Styela clava: one gene and its partners. The protein of the gene in region 1 interacts with the protein of each later gene in a pairwise test. Links are inferred from orthologs where the notes say so. Each region holds a gene or a part of one and is shown in the gene's direction. Other genes may lie near its edges.

Region 1 (7,704 bases):
CGCTGCAGAGGCAGAAAATATTCCAGAATCCCAGGATCTTGACAAACAGATCAAAGAAGCACAAGAGGAAAGTGCGGAAGGGGAGGTAAGTCACTGATGATGGTATACAATTTAGTGTTCTGTGAAAACTTCAGGAAATGCTGAATAGGGATAAGCGTGGCGCGAACAGAAATTTGAACTTGTTTTTCAATTGTTTTGTCAAATCAATAACTAATGCTGTTGTTTCTAATTCTAACATGAACATCAGATGTGCTGGAGTTTATTGTGATCATCCAATAATAGCCAATATAATTTATTCTGAAGCCAGTATGCCTGAGCATTTTTAAAAAGAATAGCAATCTGTAATTTTTCAGTATAATACAAGGATGACCCCCAAAACAAAACCCATAAATTTTGTAATTGCTCGTATGGAAATGAAGCTCAATTTATTTAACTTTTCAACTTCTGTTTGCGTATGATTGTAACCAAATGTTTTAGTAATCTGGGACAATCTGTACGAAAGTTATGTTTTCTCTCTAGAATTCGTTCCAAATAATCCCCTGGGTTTTGTTTTGGGTCACCTCGAACTTATTTTTTGGAAATATTTTATGCTCCAAGTTAACTGTATTCTATAATAACAAACTATTGTTATACAGGCTAATGAAACAGCTTCAGTTGAAGATGACAAACCTATGGCGCTACCTTTGGATGAATTGGCACCTTCGCCTAAAGAAGACGAACTTTTTGGTGAGGTCACTTATTGAATTTGGTTTAGTAATTGAATGGTTTGATGGTTTCTGTTTATTGGTATTGTTTTATTTGAATTTAATAACTAACATAATGTTTTTAAACAATGTAGCAATACAGTTATTAAAAATTGGTACAACGGTACATGAATGGTGGAAGCTGTTAAGAGTTAAATGGTCCAGCTATTGACTTTAAGAAGTCCAGCATCACAATGAGCATGTTTTTAATATCAAGTGCATTCAGACAAAAAGACAACTGTTGGGTTTAAAGAATATTAGACCAGATAACGATTCTTGTTTATATTAACTTTTCATTATTTTTACTCAGGAAACCTTGAGGTAGTGATGGCAGAATATGACAAACAACGAGAAGAATATTCAAAGGAGATGGAAGCAAACAGAGCCCGACAACATGCAGATTTCCAAATGAAATTAAAAGCAAGAAGATCGAGGAAAAGAAGGATGATGGCTCAGGAACAGGAATTGAATGTATGTATTTGTTTTCATCTGGGAAGGTCATAAGCTCAAGATCAATTTTGGGCGCTCCAGAAGTATGTGCACCAAGATGGCGCACAACCTGATAACCCTAACTTGGTTAACATACTAAGTTCAGGTTGTGCGCCATCTTGGTGCATGGCACTCAATTTTGAGATCTAGGGCCAGGCCCTTCCTTTAAATATTTAACAGATGTAGTAAGACGCCATTTGCCTTTCAATTTGGCATATGATGTACCTCATTTATTACAAAAAAGTTTTTCAAACAGCAAAAGATGTTGTCAGAAGTAATATAATTTTGTCTTGGTTTCCCATTTTTCTTTTGTCTATTGAGGGCATTTGAATTAAGGAGATAAAGAGCTCAACATATGATTTTGATTTTTAAACTCCTTTAAGTTTATGAAAATCCTGGTGAATACACAGACAATGATTAAATACCAACATACAGAGTAGGCTACCTCCTTCTATGTAATATTTTCAAATTCTTCAAAATTTTTACATTCATCCTTTTACCTTGCCTCCATAAAGTGAATGATACTTTCATGCAAAATATTGCCAAATTACTAAAATGTCCTTGTTTGAGTCTGAATGTCTTGAAAATGGATACAATACTTCCTGTGTATTTTGAGGGTAAATTTAGAACAGGGGTTGCGACCCCAAATTGGGTCAGAATGATAAGTAGGTAGAGTCGCAAACAGGTCATGGGGTCGGTGGGGTCGCTGAGGTATGGTCGAGGATGAATGTACACAAAACATCTGAAATTTGACGAACCATCTTAAATTTAGCAGTTTGTACCATGACTTACTGTAAAACAGGCCCATAGGCATCGCTCTATGCTTATGCTATAGAAAATTTAGGTGATTAATGTGACATCACTGTTGGTTTTAGCTTATTTTACTTAATACCACCACATGACCAATCTAAAAAGTCTAGTGAAAGAAGCTTAAACTTTCATGAAAAATATATATATTGACCTGGGGTCGCACTAGACACTTGAAAGTTGTCTTTGGGATCGTCCTGAAAAAAGCATGGGAACCCCTGATTTAGAATATCACCAAATACGTAGTTCACTTATCAGTGGCATACCTAGCGAATGGAACAATTTCTGAAAGAGAATCGACAGGCTATCAACACTGACAATTCATAACACACTTCGAATATTTTTAATTTTATGAATATTTTAAAATATTTTACTTTCATATTACAGGAATTGGCTCAAAAAGAGAAGGCAACTGCTTCAATTGAAGTTCCTCAAGATGCTTAAATATACACACATTGTCCATGATCAATTTTATAATTTGTACAGAAACTCACTGTAGCAGTTTATTTGTGATGCCTTTAACCACTGTTAATTAAACCTGATTGCACTTTTTGGTTAAAAGATAGTTTTTAAGATGTTCCAGTGTTAGATAGCTGTTGGGAAATTTATTAAGAGTGTTTTATTAACTTGTATTTCTATCTCATTCATTCGAGAAAAGAATACTGAATTATTGGTACACACATGCATTGTATTATGATTTTGGCATAGTATTTGATGTGTAATTAGAGCTTTTTATTACTGTGTTTTTTCAATGTTAAATTTAAAAAAATTATTAAGTTTATGCATAGAAATATTACTTTACCACTGCATTCATGAAGTTAGTAGCTGAGGTGCCTTTATGGTGATTTTGTAGCAATTTTATTAAACCTATTGTTCACAGTCTTCCATGGCTATCTATCATTTTTGTCTTCCCTTGGAATTTTATATAATACCATCTCTGTCAATGTATACTACGATTTTTTGGTTACCTTTGTTTATGTTATGTTTTGCAATTCTTTTTGTCCCCATACATGCTCGGCACGTCTTCAAATGGAACATAGTACATAAATATAGGAACTTTTTTGTCATGCATATATCTTAATGCATAGTGCTTAATTATGAGGAAATAAATTATTGTAACTGCTTTGAATATCTTCCATTTGGGTTTCTACTTTAATGCAACTTTATTTGGGTTCCTGGCCTATGGTCATATCCATGCTCCATGAAATAACCATTTTTTCTACTTTGTTCCATGTTCGCATGCGTTGTAATTTCATTTTTATGGTGGATTCAAATAAAATCCCATTTTGATTTAGCGAGTACAGATTTGTGGAGTGTCATAATCTCGTGCATTCCACTCGAATATCTTGGCACGAAAAACAGTTATTCTGGAGCTTAACATTATCTCCCCTCCACAACAGCATGTCTTAAAGTATATGTTACAGGTTTTTGGATAATTCAATGTTTCCAAGTGTAGTCGGGAAACATTGTTTTGAAGCAAAGATGTATCTACATCATATCTCATTCTTTTTTAAAATCAGTTATGAAAATGGGACTGGTAGACCCAAGTTTCATCTTTTCCTATGCATGTATGTTATAACAGTGACTGACAATCTGTGTTTGTATTATTTTGTAGTTTAATTCGATGCACTGTGTAGATATAGAAAGAAATATATATGTCTAGTTGAAGCAAGCTGGTTTTTTGTATGGTCAGTTTTTTTTTTAGTTTATTGAATGCATGGGTTCTTAGTTGAATGTGTGATAATACTCAACATATAATATATGTACCAGGCAGTAACTTTTCTATACAAGCGAGCTCAGAGTCCCACCACAGACATTTCATTCATTCAATCTCGTCATCTAAAATAAATAAATAGGAACGCTCGCTGTGTTCTATGAGGTAAGGTTCACATATTACCTCGAAATGACCCACAAGGGGCAGGTATCGGAATAAATAATTTCTTGCCTTTTTATATCGATCAACCCTGGGTTGTGGGTGTTTAAATCAATGCACTCTTCCTAATTGCTAATCGGAAGTGATCCTTTTAACGGTATTTTATACGACAGTTCATCGCATCTTTCACTTGGAATGAGACCGTGTACAAGTTTTTGTTTTTTATCTACGAAAAAAATGCTAGTACATTTGCCAGAAACCCTGGCCTTCCCGGCGCATTATAAAGTCAAGTTTATTTTTTCTTCTTATCAAAATGAGCCACCCCTCAAAGAAATGGAAGGTTGTCTAATAATTTCATTTGAAGGTTCCGGACGCGTAAACCTATTTATAAGATAAAAATTTGTGCAGTACTGCAGTAAAGTAAAATAGAATTTTTCTCGGGTCAAGGATCAGGGAAACGTCCATTGGATTTGGAGCCCTGTAGTGAAGACAGACAGGCTCAACGTCGCCGTAGAAAATGCGGCGAAGATTTATTACGGTGCGATACGGTATTTCGCCAACCAGAAGAAAACGAGCATTGTTATAATAATAGAATATACAAACAGACAACTCTTCAATCCTGTAATTAGACCCGAAGGCCTTCCCAGTCCAGCAGTCAGTACCCGTACCGTACATTGTTGGTACCGTATAAAACTGTAAATGTGACCACAAAAACCGACGAACTTTTTGTTTTTATTCATTTTTTTCTATTTAGTAAAGCCTAGATACACGGGTAGGGCATAGATATATACCATTATAGGCTACTACACTAGGCTAGGCCTATTTATCAGTTGAAACAAGGATACCGGTGTCTGGATACCGTAATTTTCAAGGTACGAATATTGAAATACAGAAACCTATTGGACTATTCCAGTATTCTGTGATCAGGTGATGGGATTGGTAGATCAATCCTTGGATGAAATTATAAAGGAGAGAAAGACTGCAAAGAAAATAAGGTGAGTTTATTATCATTAATTTTGAAGTTTGCTTGATACAGCGGTACGGTAATAATGAATTTAGCCACCAATAAAACTGCAAATTGTGACTACAGTAGAGAGAGAGAGAGATTTATTACATTTGCCAAACCAAGAAAACACAATATATAAATACATACAAATCAAAATAATATACAGATTCATGCTTTTCGTATATAGGTATATATATGACTGGGAGGCAACGATACCCCCTTTTGGGGTCATCAGATTCAGTTGCCACCCAATAGAATTAGTAATAAAATAATTTAACAGGTTCAATGTGGATTATATCATTACCTCTCATCTTTGTTAACTATTTACACTATGTACAATTCTTTCCTAGTTTATATTTTTTGATTTGGGGTGATTGATATCCAGATATCACTGAAATATATGGTGAAATATGCTTTTATGAGTGTAGGGCTAATGTTATATTGCCTTTGTTAATCTGTGCATAAGGGCAGTCTGGCAACCTGATTCCTAGTGCTGTAGTGGTTAGTTAGCCTGATGCACTAACTGACGAGTCTGAACTGCTGAAAGCCTTAAATTCGTGATTCGGTTACTTTGCTTGATATTTACAATGCTTCGTGCTCAGTTATGACTTTAACAGGTTCAATACTTCCAAAATATTTCATTGTATTTATTTTACCACAGAAGCAAGAAACCCAGTGCAAGAGGAATGTATAGTGATAAAGGAATGAGGCCAAATTTGGCTTTTCAGAAAAAGAGACTTCAGTCTGCGAGGCAACAAAACCGAAAAAAAATTGTCGATGCACGACTCTTTATAAAATCAAAGAACACAATAACTGATGCTCGGCAAAAAATTAAGCCAAAGCAAATTGTTGATGCTCGACAGAAGATAGAAGCTAAACACAATCAAGCACGCCCTGCACCACAAAAACATGTCGGGGGAATACCCAAAGTTACAATTCCAAATGAACTAGCTTTGCAAAAGCCTCATCAATTGCCCAACATTACTTTCCATGTTGCTCAAGGAAATAAAACAAGGTCGACTCTCGGTCATTCAAGTAATAATAGAGTGAGTATTTTTCGATAACTATCCGTGAAACAAAAAAAATTCCATAGGTGCAATAGCATACAGGTGCAATTGTCATGGGTTCAAATGTACGTGGGTTCAAATGTAATGGAACCGTAAACATTATATGTTATGGTATGTTAAACAGTATAAGTAACTGGAAAATGATTTTGTACATCTTAGGTATAATGACAATACAAAAAAAAAAACTATCATGAATGTTTAAAAGTTTGCCGCTTTTAATTTTTTCGTTATTTAATAACAACATGCTTAGAAAATTTCTTATTCATTTTATTCAGTATTTGATTGAACCAATAATCATTAAATATGGAACTGTTATATAAATATTCCCATGTCTGTGCTATCATTATGGCCTACACCTTTACTCATAATAGCAGATCACTGAGTACCTGGAAATTGGAATTATATGAATGCTATGATCTTAGGGATACTTATTCTTTGCTGTGTTAGATAAAACAATATTCAAATTAAATGTCAACATTTGAATTCTGTTTTCCCTTCGATAAATTGAGTTATGCTCAATGGTGTTTGAATCAGACAAATTTTTTATACGCTGGAAATATATTTGTGAGGCAAATTTTTGAAACTGGAATCCAGTAGAACTGAAATATTTCAATAGAAGATAAAACTATTCATTAGTAATGTTTTGGACCTCAAAGTTTTTATTTACAATCAAATGGCTAATTCTTCATCTAATTGTGTGTTAACAAAAACAACAATAATAATCAGAAGTTTTGAGTTATAATATAATGTTTTCTTTCAGAATGGTAACACTGTAAATCAGAGACTAGGTGCTGGAATAAAAATTGCGGTTATAAATGAACTTGCAACATCCAGTGCGAGATCAAGTGTACCGCCATGGCCAACAACGAAAAAACAATATGAAAAATTGAAAATAACAACTGTAAATAAAGACGCAATCAGAAGGGTAAGTTGTTTTTATTTATACTGTTCAGGAAAATTTTAAATAAATCATAAATAGTAAAATTGAAATTGTAGAATGTTTTTGTCAAACTTGTCTTTCGAAGCAAAGAATTCATTTCTTTGTTATAACATATTAAAACTTTTAATAGAAATTCTCCATTTTTAATTTATTTGAAATGATTCCTTTTATCCAGAAATCTCCACCCCCAAGACGTTCATCACCACCACCGGCACCAAGACCTGCTACAATTAGTAAGTATTTCCTCAGAATCAGCGTCTATCATGGATCGTTTTGTTACGTTGCTGTTGTTGTTGATATTTTTCTTGTTGTGAAAAAATCGCTTTTCTTTCAAACTAATTGACCAATTGCTTTCAAATTCTCAGTGGTTAAAGTCAAAGATTGTTTTTGTCGCTATCACTCTTGTTCATTTAAAAAATTTCTGGGGGCTTTATTGGATTCGTTTTTCACTTTAAAATTTTGTGTGATGAGATGACGTCATCAAAATTGGAAGTTGCGCACTGTGTGGCGATTCTGCAATTGCATTTCAGCGATCTGGTGGTCAGCAATGTCTTGGAAAACATCTCTCATTTCTCATTCACACTCCTAATTGATAAGAAAATATTTGTGGTGATGATATTGATGAACAAGATATTTTCTCTGAGAATTAAATTACCGGATATTAATTATTAATTAAATTACCGGAATTAAATTCTGGATAAATCGTAAATCAGAAAAAAACCTATATTTTGCTTATTTTATGCAATGATAGTCGACAGTTTGGTAGTCGGACATCAATC
Region 2 (7,061 bases), on another chromosome or scaffold:
ACAAGTAAATCAAACGGGCAGTCGGAATTGAGCAACCTTTACGGAGATAAAAAGAAAGAATTAACAAGCTTCTGGATCCCGCAGCTAACGCCAGCGGCAAGCAAAAGTCGTTTTAAAAAACCAAGTTCGAAGGTGTATTGTCCGATAAATAACACTTCGATCAAAATGAAAGATTTAATACCGGTGAAATTTACACCAATTGCTGATCGGGACACAAAAACTGCGCTAATTAGTAAAAAGGACCGTTGGATGTGTGCAGTCACCCATGACACTTTAGGGAACTCTGTACCGTCGGTTGTTTTGCGTCCGACGGGCGACGTCGTTACTGCAGATTGTGTTGAAAAATTAATTAAACCAAACGAAATGAGACACCCTATAACCAATGAAATTTTAGATGAAAAACGAGATATTATTCCGTTGCAACGTGGCGGGACTGGTTTTTCTCAGACGAACGAATCTCTGGACGTTAAGAAATACAGACCTTCCATGCATGTTTAGTTTGAGTGAAAATTTCTAAAAAAAATCTCTCTTTCTGAAAGCTCCAACGAAAATTTCCTCCATTGAATATTTGGTACTGCCGTAGTGGTGTGTACCAGGTTGGGGTTATCCCACAATTTTTTTCCGATTTTCTTTATTTTAGTTCTGTTATGAGTTCGGAGACTGTCTGTGTCAGCCAAGTAAATATACCACATAGGTTTCAGTTCCTTTACCCAACTTGATGTAAAGTAGCCGAACAAAATTAGTTACCTCCATATTGGTACACACACTTTTGGAGCACCAAATATTCTACCCAGACAGTATAAAATCCCAATCTTAATCACTATTTTTGAAACTTTTTGGCGTTTCCACTTCGACACAAAACACATGTTTTAGTCGAGTATACGTTGGAAATGACTCTAAATATGACATGGACAAACTACGACTGCTGGGTGATTCTGTCTGGCCCACCTGATGCTGCCACAACCAAACTAAAACCAAATTTTGATGTTTTAGCAAAAAAAAAAGCTCAGGATTTGTTGAGATTGTGAGTAAATTTAGTTTGGGCATGAAGCTTATTGTTTTACATGTTTGCTTTTGTGATACTGTAGATATTGTTCATAAAATGTAATTTTTTATGTTTCACTCACATGGCCCGCCAGTCTAGGTGGGCAAGTTTTGGCTTCTGGTCCCCCCTGGGAAGTTTTGGCTACAACTCCCGACTGCAACGAAACCTTTGAATATCCGTTGTGAAGGATTTTTTAGTCGATTTAGTCGATTATTACCATTGTAAGTCTGTATTTTTGACATATGTCGTTACAGCACACTATCCAAATTCCAAGAATTTCCCCCTCATTTGGCTCAATGAAACAAACACTCTATGTGTCTCACCAACGAGGGGCGTCTGGGACCACGTCAGATGCTTCATATCGTGCCATGCTTGTCTCGATAATAATCTAAAATAATCGTGGGCGTCACATGACCAAAATTGCCGTTTTTGCTAAAAACTCTCGAATGCTACGGTCAAATTTTTTTTCCTTCGGTAAATCGGATTATTTTTTTCCAAGGAATTCAATGATGACGTTACTGAAGTGCGCTTTTTTGTAGTATTTTGCGCAACTTCATTATACAGTATTATTACCGATATTGAGGGACAACAATGTCCAGACGTCTCCCAAAGAAGGGGTGTCTGATCATCTGTAAAATGGGTTTCTCAGAAACGAGGCAATGTCACTCGATTTGTATAGTGTGCCGTACTGTATGTGCCATATGACTATGAGAGTTGTGGAAAAATAGTTGCTCTTTTTAAGCCACACCCACTTTTTAGAATTTGTCAGGTCCCCCTCTCAAAAATAACTAACTAACAAGAGGCTACAAATAACAGCTAGTAAGGCGGGAGTATGTTTCATTCAAAAAATACGTGAATGGAACATAAATAATAATATCAATGAAAATTTTTGAAATGTAAATATCCAAAGTAAGACGGACAATATAAAATCTAAGAAATATTTTTACTCTTGTTCTCTCAAAAAATTGTCCATGCTCCCCACAGACTTCTCACATTAGTTCTTTAACTTTATTTTTTATTCTCATTTTCAATATAAAGTCATTATAGTTGTTTGCTATATTATTCTATTCTATCTCTATTAGAGTTGGATCGGTATTTATGCCATAAATGTGGTACTCTCGTTGTGTGTGTACCAGGGTAGGGTCAGGTCATAATTTTATTCAGATTTTTCTTATTTTAGTTCCATTACGAGATCGGGACTGTCTGTGTTAGCCAAGTGAATATATCCCCTGCCTATAGGTTTCAGTCCCTTTACACAACTTGATGTAAAGTATGCGAACAAAATTAGTTACTTCCATATTGATACACACACTTCTGGAGCGCCCTAATTTCAATAAAAATATGACAAACTCTGATGCCACTGCCCTGAGATCATCTGTGAGGTTATATCTATTTAGTCAGTCTATGCATCTGGAGTACTTAACTGGTAAATAAATCATCTCTATGTGTAACCTGAGCTGGTAACAGGACCAACGCCTTGGTCTGCCAATAAGTGAGCTGTCTTATTGCATTCCCCCTCCCTGAGTATAAATATGGAAGCTTCTATCACAGTTTGTGAAGTTGAACTTTTTTTCATTTTCAATATAAAATCATTGTTTTTACACTAGATTATTTATCTAAATATAGGTTTATATTTATTTAAAATGGAAAATCAAACTGCAGTTGTTAAAGCTAATCCAACAAGAAAACGGGTTGGGCCAAAATCTAGAATAACAGCCAATCAAATTCCAGCTGAAATTCTAGAAGACTCCTCATTGGCTGCTGCAATTTCAAATCTTCCTTCAAATTACAATTTTGAAATTCACAAAACAATATGGCGGATCAGGCAGAACGGAGCAAAACGCGTCGCTTTACAATTTCCTGACGGACTTTTGATGTTCGCTTGTACCATTTCTGACATCATAGAGGAATTCACTCAAGCGGAAACTGTCATAATGGGTGACACAACATACGGAGCATGCTGCGTTGATGATTTTTCTGCACGTGCGCTGGAGTGTGACTTCATGGTTCACTATGGCCATAGCTGCCTCATACCTATCAACAATATGCCTGATATCAAAATGTTATATATTTTCGTTGATATTAAGATTGATATTGAACATTTGATGGCGACAGTGAGAGAAAATTTTACACGTGAACAAGCGTTGTATCTAGTCAGCACCGTGCAATTTGTCGCTACTCTACACGCAGTCAAAAACCAATTGATGAAGGATGGTTTTAATGTTAATATACCACAAATCAAACCGTTGACGCCTGGTGAAATTCTTGGTTGTACTTCGCCGAATGTTGGCGATGTGAAATGTGACGCTGTGATTTATCTCGGAGACGGCAGGTTTCATCTCGAATCTATGATGATTTCAAATCCAGAAATTCCGGCTTACAAATATGACCCATATGCAAAGACTTTTACGATCGAAAAGTACGACCATTTAGCTATGCAGAAAGTGCGAAGAAACGCGATCGAGAAAGCACGAAAAGCTGAAACGTGGGGGCTGATTTTAGGTACCTTGGGACGCCAGGGATCTACGACTGTTCTGGACCATTTAGAAGAGCGAATTCTTAACTCTGGACGAAGAGTTGTAAAAATCTTACTTTCAGAAATTTTTCCGTCAAAATTAAAACTATTTCCTGATGTTGGAGCATGGGTTCAAATTGCTTGCCCCCGTTTGTCCATTGATTGGGGCCTTGCCTTTGACACACCCCTCTTGACCCCGTACGAGGCTGCTGTGGCAATCAAAGACATAGAACCGTGGGAGGGGAATTACCCTATGGATTTTTATGCTCGTCAATCTAAAGGACCCTGGACTCCAAATTATCAGCCTCCAAGAGAGGTTAAAAGTAAAGTTGTCAAAGCCACTTGATATAAAGCTAATCTGGCACTAGTTTTTAAACTTTACTGAAATACCCATCGAGTCTTAGGTCATCTGTGTAAAGTAATAAGCTTTTTAACTTTTTATTTTAGGGGGGTGTTTCCAAATCTAAGAGGTGGTAGATATTTAGCTATTAAAATAGCTAAGTGTATTATGTAATTAACTGACCGCCTACACTGGTATATGAGTCACTTTCTGAATATTCAAGTACAATATTCCCATCCAAGTTAGAAACCTAAAGTGAAATATCAGATCTGTGGGAGGTCAGGTTTCAAATTAAGGTTTACTTAGAGGTATTACTAGGGCTGGGCACTTCAAATCGATTCGAATAGTAAATTATTCGAATCGGTTCAAAGCAAAATTTTGAATCGCCGCCATCTTGTTTTTGTTCTTTTCGACCATGGTCAGGTGAATTATCCATTTTTTTTTTATTGAAATCATATTTTTTCAATGCATTGTTGACATATGACTATTTTCTGTAGTGAGGTATTGATAAATAGTGTTTCTCATTGTGTGTGAACGCTTCGCAATCTGTCTGAGTGACGTATTCTATGTTTTCAGTAATTCATTTGTTGACAGGACCAATTACAATAAAAAAAAGTCGCATACAATTACATATCTCCCATTGACCCAAGTATTCGAGATTCGATTAGAAAAAAAGATTCGATTCGATTCTGAAATCATCAGGTATTCGAAATTGCCCAGCCCTAGTTATTACTGCATCAAGTTGGTAAATTTTAATTTTTCAAATATTATTTTGCCATTTTGCTCAATTATTTGTTTTAATTTTGAATAGTTTCTTTGAGCATTTGAGGTCTCACGATACGAACAAGGAAGCCATCTTTAGTGCATTTCCAAATTCAAACTTTTCAAATATGCATTGACTTCTGTGTGTTCTCTCTTGAGCATGACCCAATTCGGAATATCTTTATTACTTCTGAGTGAGTTTGCGATGCTATTAGAAGATTTTTTTTCAAAAATGTAACATTATTTATAATTTAAATGCTACAATTTTTGTGCTTTTTCTCATTTTAGATTTTCTACGTAACTAATTTAACTATGGAAGATATTACAAGTAATTTTGAAGCTTCATTGCCTTTGGAACATTACAAAGAGGTATTGAAAAATGACGTGCGACCGGACGGAAGAGATCTTGGAAAATTTAGAAAAATGACAATTAACGTTGGATCTATTAGTACAGCGGACGGCTCTGCTCTTGTGCAAATGGGAAATACCATGGTCGTTTGTGGGGTCAAAGGTGAACTTACGAAACCCCCTGCTTCGAAACCAGATTGTGGAATTATTGTTCCGAATGTGGACTTATCACCGATGTGTGCGGCTCATTTCAAACCCGGTCCACCGTCCGAACAAGCACAAGTTGCGAGCCAACTTCTTAATGACATCATAAAGACTTGTGATGTCATAAATCTTGATGAATTATGTATTTTTAAAGACAAACTGGTCTGGGTTTTATATTGTGATGTTGTTTGTTTGAGTTACGATGGAAATTTAAATGATGCTTGTATAATGGCTTTAGTGGCCGCTCTCGAGAGCACAACGTTGCCAAAAATAAAATACAATGAAGAAAATGATGTCATAGAGACGCTCGCTGACCCGGAACAGAGGTCAAAGTTGATAGTTCGAAAAAGGCTAGTTTCTTCAACTTTTGTGTTATTCGACTCTACTCATCTAATTGCTGACCCAACTTTGAAGGAAGAGGAAATGACATCGGGAGTAGTTACCATAGTAACGGATGACCAAGGCAAATTGTGTCATCTTCACAGGCCTGGGGGGTTCCCCCTCAGAGACAAACAATTAGAAAAATGTATAAAAGCAGCAACGCGGAACGGTCAAAAGTTGCACTCATTGCTGCAACAATTTCAATAATATTTTTATTCTGATAATAATAAACTAAAGCAAAATTTGCATAAATGAAGGATTTTAGAATAAATATCCTAATTAAAACTGACCAGTAGGTACAAGGTGCTCATATGAATAGGCTGGTAACGTGAATATTCTCTTTCCTGACTTGAACATGAGGTATATGTAAGGAGAGGTGTGGCTTTATATGTCAATATATCTCTGCGTTTGGTAGTAAAGTTTGATTGTGTTAACCGCAAGTTAGCATGTGCGATATAGTTTTCTGTTATCAACTCAAACAAATATTTATTTAACTAATTATCACCAGGTTTGCCCAAAACGAATCAAATAAATATCAAAGTATTTGAATACCTTTTCGTCTGATTTTTGAATAATCCTGAATAATAGCCACTTTTCGCCGTAAGCGTGGTGTTCGTTTTCAAGGGAAATCTTATTTGTTGTATCTATCGTATTGAACCTCAGCACTCTATTGCTTTCTCTCTCCACTGCAAACCAAATTTTCCATAGGGGACTTTAAGCTTCCTCTATGCAAATCCAATCATACGTTCATGCTATGCTTTTTGTGCACTATTTTTACACTCTAAACAAGACTCTGTGTGAGCAAACACCCTCTTTATGCTCTTTCTAATCATTGCCAACTTCCTTTCTTAGCTAACAAACATGTTCAGTTTAAAATCGGAACTGTTTAAAAAACAACAGGAGGTGACTTCAAAGAAATCTGGTCAAATAGTTACATCGGCAATCAGAAAACAACATAAATTGAAAAGTTCTTCAAATGGGGAGGGGAAAGTACCTGAAAATGAGAAGAATCCGGGAGTTGAAGAACGTAACGCAAGAGATATTGCCGAAACATCTGAAGAAATAGATAAAGGGAAAATGGTGAAATCTGTGCTGGAGGTGAAAATGAATTCTTTTGTAATAAAAACTATTATACCTTCTTTTCGGATTTGTTGTTTTTTGCGATTATTGGAGATGAGGTTATAGGTTTTGCATTCCCTGGAAGAAAATTTTTCTATTATGTGCTGATTTCTTTACCTTTGCTCAGAGATGAGTCTCTTTTACTCCAGAGTGACTGTTTGTAACTTTGCTCAGATATGAGTATCCTTTACTTTGAGTGAGTGCATGTGACTTTGCTCAAAGATAGGTTTTATTCACATGCAATGCACTAAGCTTAGGTCACCGTCTTATTACCTATCGATCTTAAGATTGGTAAGTATGTTGATAGGTATCTGTCTGTCTGTTAGATGAACGCGATATCTCACGAA
Region 3 (7,177 bases), about 6.1 Mb from region 1:
TATGTTTGTACAGGTCAGTGCTGGACAGTTCTTTGATACTCACTTGAAATATATCAAGTTAAATGAATTTCCAGTCGACTGGTCGACAAAAGATCTCTCGTACCTCGTTAAAGATAATTATGATAAGTATGTTTTTACCTTATTGAAGTCTATTCAAGCTCAAAGGTTCTATTTTATATTAATTATGAATGTATAAGATAGTAAGTAATGTTTTGTCAAGCCGCTCTATTAGTAATTACCAACCAACGGTTAGGGAGATGTGTTTTATATTTGCTTGTCTGATAACATTCCGACTAATCTTTATATTATATTTGTGAAATAATTTAAAAGCTGTACTGTTCTACCCTCTGCCGAAATGGCATCAATTAAAATCTAACATGCAACAATATTCTGACATGCAGAAGCCATATACTTACGCTAATTCGTTGTCTAAGTGGTCAGGCTTTGTTTTTTTTTGTGCATTTAGATATATGCGGTTTCTCCGAATTGAATATTAATCTGTATATAATTCCCAACTGGTGTGATGTTATACTTGACTAATAGCTCACAAAAAAAACTCTTTTTCTACACGATTCTAAATCATGTGTTTTGACAATAATTTCCTACCTCATTTTAGAGTTTTTCCTCTCTTTATTCATGATTAGTAGACTTGCATTTCTTTTTTTTTATATTTCAAGATCTTTCAAAGATAAAGTATACAACCTTCCACTGTTTCGAATCAGCGATCTTAAAGAAAATAAAGATCCAGACTCTCGTGAAGTTCGAATTGAATACACAATGTCACATACTTTTAAAGCTTTTGCTAAGGAGCTTGGACTTATGTCCGATTTTAAAAAAGGGGTGCCAAGGACAGCATATATGGGTATTGTAACCACTATTTTCAGAGGTAGAAGAGTTTATCTTGCTCCTCCTGTAGATTGGACTGGTTATGTTGAAAGCTGGTCATGATTTTTAGCGTTTGAGTGGTATTGGTCAACATTGTTTCATGTATGCAGTATCAGTTGCAATAATACTCAAATTTTAAATGCCGAATTATCCGAGTGGGAATGTTTTAGCCATTGTCATGCGTTGCGATTTGATTGTTTGCCATGCGATTTTCTACCATTTTGAAATAAAAAATTTCCTGAATTATTTATATTAAGCACAATTAGGAGAATAATATTCAAGAGCAAAGGTCGTAGTTGCAAGTCATTTTGTGACAATCCCTAGGGGCAATTCGGTCATACCTAAAAACACCTACCGACCCCCCCCCAAATCGTGTCTATATAACATACTCTTTACTTAGAATTTGAACGTCTTCGAGAGATTGTGAAACCGTATTGAATAGTGTTATGTGCAATCAAAATATTCATTTTGGGTCACGCCAAAGGTAGAAATGTATCAAATGGCTTATGCTTTATTTGGTGTGCTTTATTTTTACTGTTTTAAAATGTGCCAACGAAAGTACTCTTGAAGATATAAATACATTTGTCTTCGTATATAGAAATGGTATAGAAGACCTCGATTTTGTATGAAATATTCCGACAGAATTCAAAATTATATCCATCTTTGCTTCTACTTTTTATGGCATCTCTGTATTACTGAGTGAAGAAGTTAATTTTATCAAGGTGTGAAGTGAGGAAATTTTTATTATCTGCGTATTATCGATAATCATATACATGCACTGTTTAAGACATATTTTTGAATGTTGATATTATATGATTTATGAAATGTAAAATGTGCAACATGAATTTCAAATCAACACACATTGTTAATTGGGTATCATCTGTTCAACACAGGCCTGTTGGTTCAGTTATTCTCTCCCAGTTCCAGAACAGTTTTTATTGAGGAAAACCTACCGGTAATTGAACGTAATTTTTTCTTCATCATTTTCATTGAATTGGTGGTTGATATATTTTGAAAGTGATCATACTTATGTTAGGCATAGGCTTCTGTCGCCTCAGATAATATATTCATTTTCATTTGCCACTCTGCTATAATATGATCAATAAATGCGCTAGAAACAAAATCTTATTAAATTTTTCTATATAATGATTAATGTACATTCTATCTACAAATCTCCTTTTGCCAAGTTGCAACTGTTACAAGGCATCGTTAATATCTGATCAAATTTTTAGAGACCAGTACTTATTCTGATTGTATTTGTACAAATCGCCGATAATTCTCAATTCAGCAATTTAAAAGATATCTTGATCAAGGACTACCCAAAGTTTTACCAATGTGCTTTTGAAATATATTGTGCAATCTACATAATTAAGTCTTTTGCAGCAGTGAGATTAGGACAGTACCTCTTCAAGTTTTTTGATTGTGCGTATTTTGTAATGTCTCCCACGGAACACTGCCTTGAAAACTCTTTAATCGCCATTTGTTAATAAAAATGTTCGCCCGATAGGAATATTGGCAGGAATGGAAATGGAACCACAAGGACGCTTTGGGTTTTCAAATAAGTGAGCATGTAATTCGAGCATTGTGCCGATTTTGTTCAAATTCCGCAGTGTTTAAATGCTCTTCGTTTGCCTTGACCAACTAGCTGCTCTTGTGATATATTGTACAAGGTTTGTTAGTTTAATCTTGATTGTTCAAGATGGTTGAACCGTTGATAAAGTTGAACAGTTTATCTTTATCCTATTCAAAATTTTACATGCCAAAGAAAACATTCGTCAAAGATTTATGCGGTAAATCACAAATTAAGAGTAGGAGGCTGAATCGTACCGCCCCTGCTTGGTTTTAAAGCATGATTGTTGCAAGCGTGAACTACTGAACTTCCCCGAAAATAAGACCCAGTCCGAATTTTAAAAACGATTTTAATATAAGCCCGACTCTTAAAATAAGACCTAGTCAATGACGCAATTTTTTTTTTGACCTAGTCGATAGCAAGACATCTCGCTTACACGTTTAAAATGATTAATAATCTATGTTTTGCAGTTATTTTGAATAAAAACGCTATATTTATGATTTAATGGATATCGGTTTTCATGTTTTGTATACTTGAAAATCCCGTAGTTCTCTACTTTGTAATTTTGTTTTTGAAAATGAAAATAAGCCCTAGTGTTATTTTTCGGAGAAAGATTGAAATAAGACCCAGTCTTAACCCAGTATTAACACAGTGACAATCATCAATATTTACAACCAATGAAATAAAATCGTCATTGATGTTAACACTGGTATGGGATATGTTATTATTTTTGGACTTATTTGAAGATATAGCTGGAAATCCAGAACAGCATTATCATTTATACATTGATCATCCAGACCTAATTTTGTATGCTTCTTTGAGGTGTTCAATTGTCTCAAAACAGGACCCTTTCCAAATAAAGACAAAATAGAGAAAGGCGAAGACTTTTTTCAATTAGCTGTCAGTTCTTTTCAGCAACTTGGGACAAAATTGTGAAGATGTGATCTAGTTTGCACGCACAAAATGGCGAAAATCATTGGACTATCTATAGGATCCCATTAGACATAGGGTCAACGGGGATTGAACCACGTGCCGCTTACATGTACTGCTACCTTGCGATATCAATTTTTGATAAAACTAAAGATCCTGAAAGACGGTATGTTAGTCGTTGGGAAGACATAATAACAAATATCCATGCTTTCAAGTCCATCCATTCTATCCAAGTCCATGCTTCTGAAAAAAGACAATATAACTAATCCCATACCCGACTTGGAATGGTAACCGGACGAGAGGCCGTAGTTCGCCATATGGATAAGCCGTCTTATCGGCTTTCCTCTCCCCCGGGATAAATATGTAAATCCTATTCTATCCTAAATAATTATTTTTGATTCACAAATATTTTTTGGAACTATACTAAAAAGAGGCGATGTTTACAACTACGCTTGAATATATATGTCTAGTCTAGTCGAAAGAAATGTCTGAGCGGCGGCATAAATTGCAATTGTTACGTCATTGTTGACTCTTTGCTGATTGGTAATTGTTACGGAAATAACAGGGAAATCGATGCTCGGGAAAACATCCATAGTTACGGGGCAAATACATCGCGCACGGAACACATTTGTATGAAATTCGGTAGTTTAGGTTTGTCTGAAATATGATAATCTGACAAAACGGCGCTTGCTTATCTGACTGGTGACTGGGTTCTGCTGCTGTCGATTCCTTGCGTGCGAATACTGGAATAGGCGGTTTTGTTCTCCTCGTAGCAGATTTTAGAAAATTTAAAATGTCTCACACAATACTTCTTGTTCAGCCAACGAAAAAGCCTGAGGGGCGGACATATTCAGACTACGAATCGGTGAATGAATGCATGGAGGGTGAGTATCCTAATATCAGTACATATCATATCAGTACATAATGTCTGAATGTGGTACGGTACCGTAATGTGACCTGCATACATTGTCAGTTTCAATAATTCGTAACGAGTCGTTATTATCAATTGTTTTATTGTATTGTGTCTGTTTATTGAATGCTAATATGCTTAAAAACCATGACTACCAACAATACCGGTATAAGGGTCTCATGTAGTTTCGTACCGGTACTACCGTACCTAACATACTTCTAGTGAGCGTAGCATACCGGTAACAATTTTTCGATATGTCAATCCTAACTGCCATCTGACTACGCCATAACTACGTTAGGTATGGAACTACACGAGACCCCAATATAAATGCCCCAAATTGCGCGGCGGTGTGGCTCAACGGGCTAAGCGTTAGGAATACGCTCACCACCGCACCTCTAATTACTCTGCGTGGGTTCGCAGGTTCGAATCCCATGCAGAGATGGTTATGTGCGAGAGGATTGCTGGACTCCTCGCCGTCGTTGGGTGGTTCACGTAACCGCTGGTCGGTTACGGCTTCCTCCACCACCAAGTCCATGCTTCCGAAAACAAACAATAAAACTAATCCCATACCCGACTTGGAATGGTAACCGGACGAGAGGCCGTGGTTCGCCATATTGATAAGCCATCTTATCGGCTTTCCTCCCCCCCCCCCCCCCGGGATAAATATGTAAATCCTATCCTATATAAATGCCCCAATACAAAGTCCAATTGATGTCCAGGAGTCACAGATCAGAATACAATACGAACTACTGTGCTTATAATTCATATAAGACAGCAAATATTTTCTGAAAATGGTGCTTGATGGTTTCATGCTTTGAATTAAGTAGGCCTATCAGTATTAGAAATCTCAAAAATAGTTTCCGGTGCATTTCGACAATTTCCAGAACGCCATATCAATTTTATGCCTAAATACCAGTACTTAAGAATTGTAATAATTGTTTCTCGTCTTTATAATGTTCATATATAATGAACATTGATATTTAAATAAAAAAACACAGCGATACATCAAGAAAGGACAAAACATCTAGGAAACTAATGTTTTAAGAAGAGAATTTAATTTAAAAAAAAAAAACCAGTATGACGGTCGAGAATAGCCCCCACATTAAAAGACATCAATTATACCAGTGAGTGCAAACCCCTCTTTTACTAGACTGTCTGGGCTTTCATTTTGGCACGAACAGCCACTGTGCAGTGAACGAATAGAAAGCGCAGACCAAAAAAATTACACCATTGGATTCCTTCCTTAGAAAAAATAATATAACCTCCAAAAAAAAAAATAGCAATTGAGAGTTTTTAGTACAATACTGCAATTTTGGTCATACGCTGGCCGGCGCACGTCGCTATGGTTTAAAAGTATTATTGAGACAGGCATGGCGCGATCTGACACATCTACAGTTACATACTACAGTTATGCCAGACGATCTCTTCCCAGAGACAAATAGAGTTTGTTTTATTGAACCAAATGTCTGGTCAAATATGTGAATTCATTTTAATTTTTCATAGCATGTCCTTGATGAATAAATTGTAAAATATATAGATAACTTTTTCATATCAGCTTATAATGGGAAAATTATTATAATTGAACTAGATTTAACCCAAAATTCAAATTAAAAACTTGTTCGTTTAAATATGGTTTGTTACTATATACTGATATGTGTTTACTGTTAACACAGGATAAATGTGAGAATATAAAATTAATTACTCAATATCAAAGGTGAAAGCATTACGCTGGAAATCTACACTTCAGTTACCTGTCCATTTTTGTATGCGTGTATTTCACTCACATAAAACAGATTGAAAATATCAATCACATAGTACTAATATGTTAGCATGTGTTTTTCCAAAAATATTTTTATTTTGAAATAATTTTACATTTCTAGGTGTGTGCAAGATCTATGAAGAACATCTCAAGCGAATCAATCCCAATTGCCCTTCAATTACTTACGACATCAGTCAACTGTTTGATTTCATCGATGAACTTGCTGATCTCTGTTGCCTAGTATTTCAAAAATCTACCCAGACATACGCACCATTCAACAAAGAGTGGATCAAAGAAAAAATCTACATTCTCCTTCGGAAACAAGCTGGCAAGACATAAATATTGGAGCGAAGATACTAGGCATGAATTATGGAACGATCTATCTTCAATCATGCTTGAGAAATAGATACCCATTTCTAGTTTTAGTTTGATTGAAGATTGCCGTCATTGACTTTTGTTTTGACAGGCTTGAATTGACTGGTATAACACATTATTGAATGTAGTTTGCAATTTTATTGACCACTTTACGGAGTTGAATTTCAATATCTGTATTTGATTTCTCTTACCAATGAACGTCCTTCAATCTCAAATGTAATTTTTGTGATTGTTTTATCTTTTAACACAAGATAGGCAAGCATCTCCTTTGTGTAAGTAGTGTCAATGGTTTTTAATTGTTGGTATCGTCTTTGATTTCTTATAGCTGTCATCGTGAAGAATTAGTTTGGGAAGCAATGTTATTTGATATGTAAATAGCAATTTGAAATGTTTGTTCGTTTTTATTTGTATAATGCGTTTCAGTTGGGAGAAATGTTAGAAATTTGGAGTTTCACAGAATATCAATTGCAGTAGTGCAATTCTCAATGTGGTGGCCATTTAATGAGATGTCATGAAAACTAGCTATGAAATCTCCTGTATACTGTCAAATCGATGTTGTATATGACGTCATTGCAACTGATAATAAGGACTAAAGTTTGGTCAAAGATTTGCATGTGCAGATAATCCATTTGAGCTTGACCAGAGAGAATTGTGCCTACAAATATCTGAGTTGCACCAGAGTTCAGCAACCTATTTTCAGGCTCTATGCTCTGATCAATATTTGAAATGTTCACCATAATTGGGCTTT

Evidence for each region. The genes of interacting proteins can lie anywhere in the genome.
Region 2: the proteins of uncharacterized protein LOC120344499 (region 1) and exosome complex component RRP43-like interact in a two-hybrid assay, tested with the Homo sapiens proteins (2 studies listed by BioGRID). The link is inferred for Styela clava from reciprocal best matches to the Homo sapiens genes POLDIP3 and EXOSC8.
Region 3: the proteins of uncharacterized protein LOC120344499 (region 1) and enhancer of rudimentary homolog interact in a two-hybrid assay, tested with the Homo sapiens proteins (2 studies listed by BioGRID, with this or other methods). The link is inferred for Styela clava from reciprocal best matches to the Homo sapiens genes POLDIP3 and ERH.

What each region holds. Positions count from the first base shown.
Region 1 is NC_135254.1:8,186,442-8,194,145, reverse strand, and holds the start of uncharacterized protein LOC120344499, read left to right. Parts: upstream 1-4,666; 5' UTR 4,667-4,842; coding exon 4,843-4,907; intron 4,908-5,579; coding exon 5,580-5,964; intron 5,965-6,745; coding exon 6,746-6,910; intron 6,911-7,100; coding exon 7,101-7,158; intron 7,159-7,704. Other genes in the region: uncharacterized protein LOC120345080, read left to right, coding at 1-85, 636-726, 1,054-1,214, 2,427-2,483. UniProt on the Homo sapiens protein: Is involved in regulation of translation. Is preferentially associated with CBC-bound spliced mRNA-protein complexes during the pioneer round of mRNA translation. Contributes to enhanced translational efficiency of spliced over nonspliced mRNAs.
Region 2 is NC_135250.1:31,193,093-31,200,153, reverse strand, and holds exosome complex component RRP43-like, read left to right. Parts: upstream 1-4,950; 5' UTR 4,951-4,974; coding exon 4,975-5,802; 3' UTR 5,803-6,447; downstream 6,448-7,061. Other genes in the region: nitric oxide synthase-interacting protein-like, read left to right, coding at 1-498; 2-(3-amino-3-carboxypropyl)histidine synthase subunit 1-like, read left to right, coding at 2,689-3,906; coiled-coil domain-containing protein 174-like, read left to right, coding at 6,457-6,693. UniProt on the Homo sapiens protein: Non-catalytic component of the RNA exosome complex which has 3'->5' exoribonuclease activity and participates in a multitude of cellular RNA processing and degradation events.
Region 3 is NC_135254.1:14,324,731-14,331,907, reverse strand, and holds enhancer of rudimentary homolog, read left to right. Parts: upstream 1-4,063; 5' UTR 4,064-4,178; coding exon 4,179-4,269; intron 4,270-6,175; coding exon 6,176-6,393; 3' UTR 6,394-6,821; downstream 6,822-7,177. Other genes in the region: alpha-1,3-mannosyl-glycoprotein 2-beta-N-acetylglucosaminyltransferase-like, read left to right, coding at 14-126, 678-948. UniProt on the Homo sapiens protein: May have a role in the cell cycle.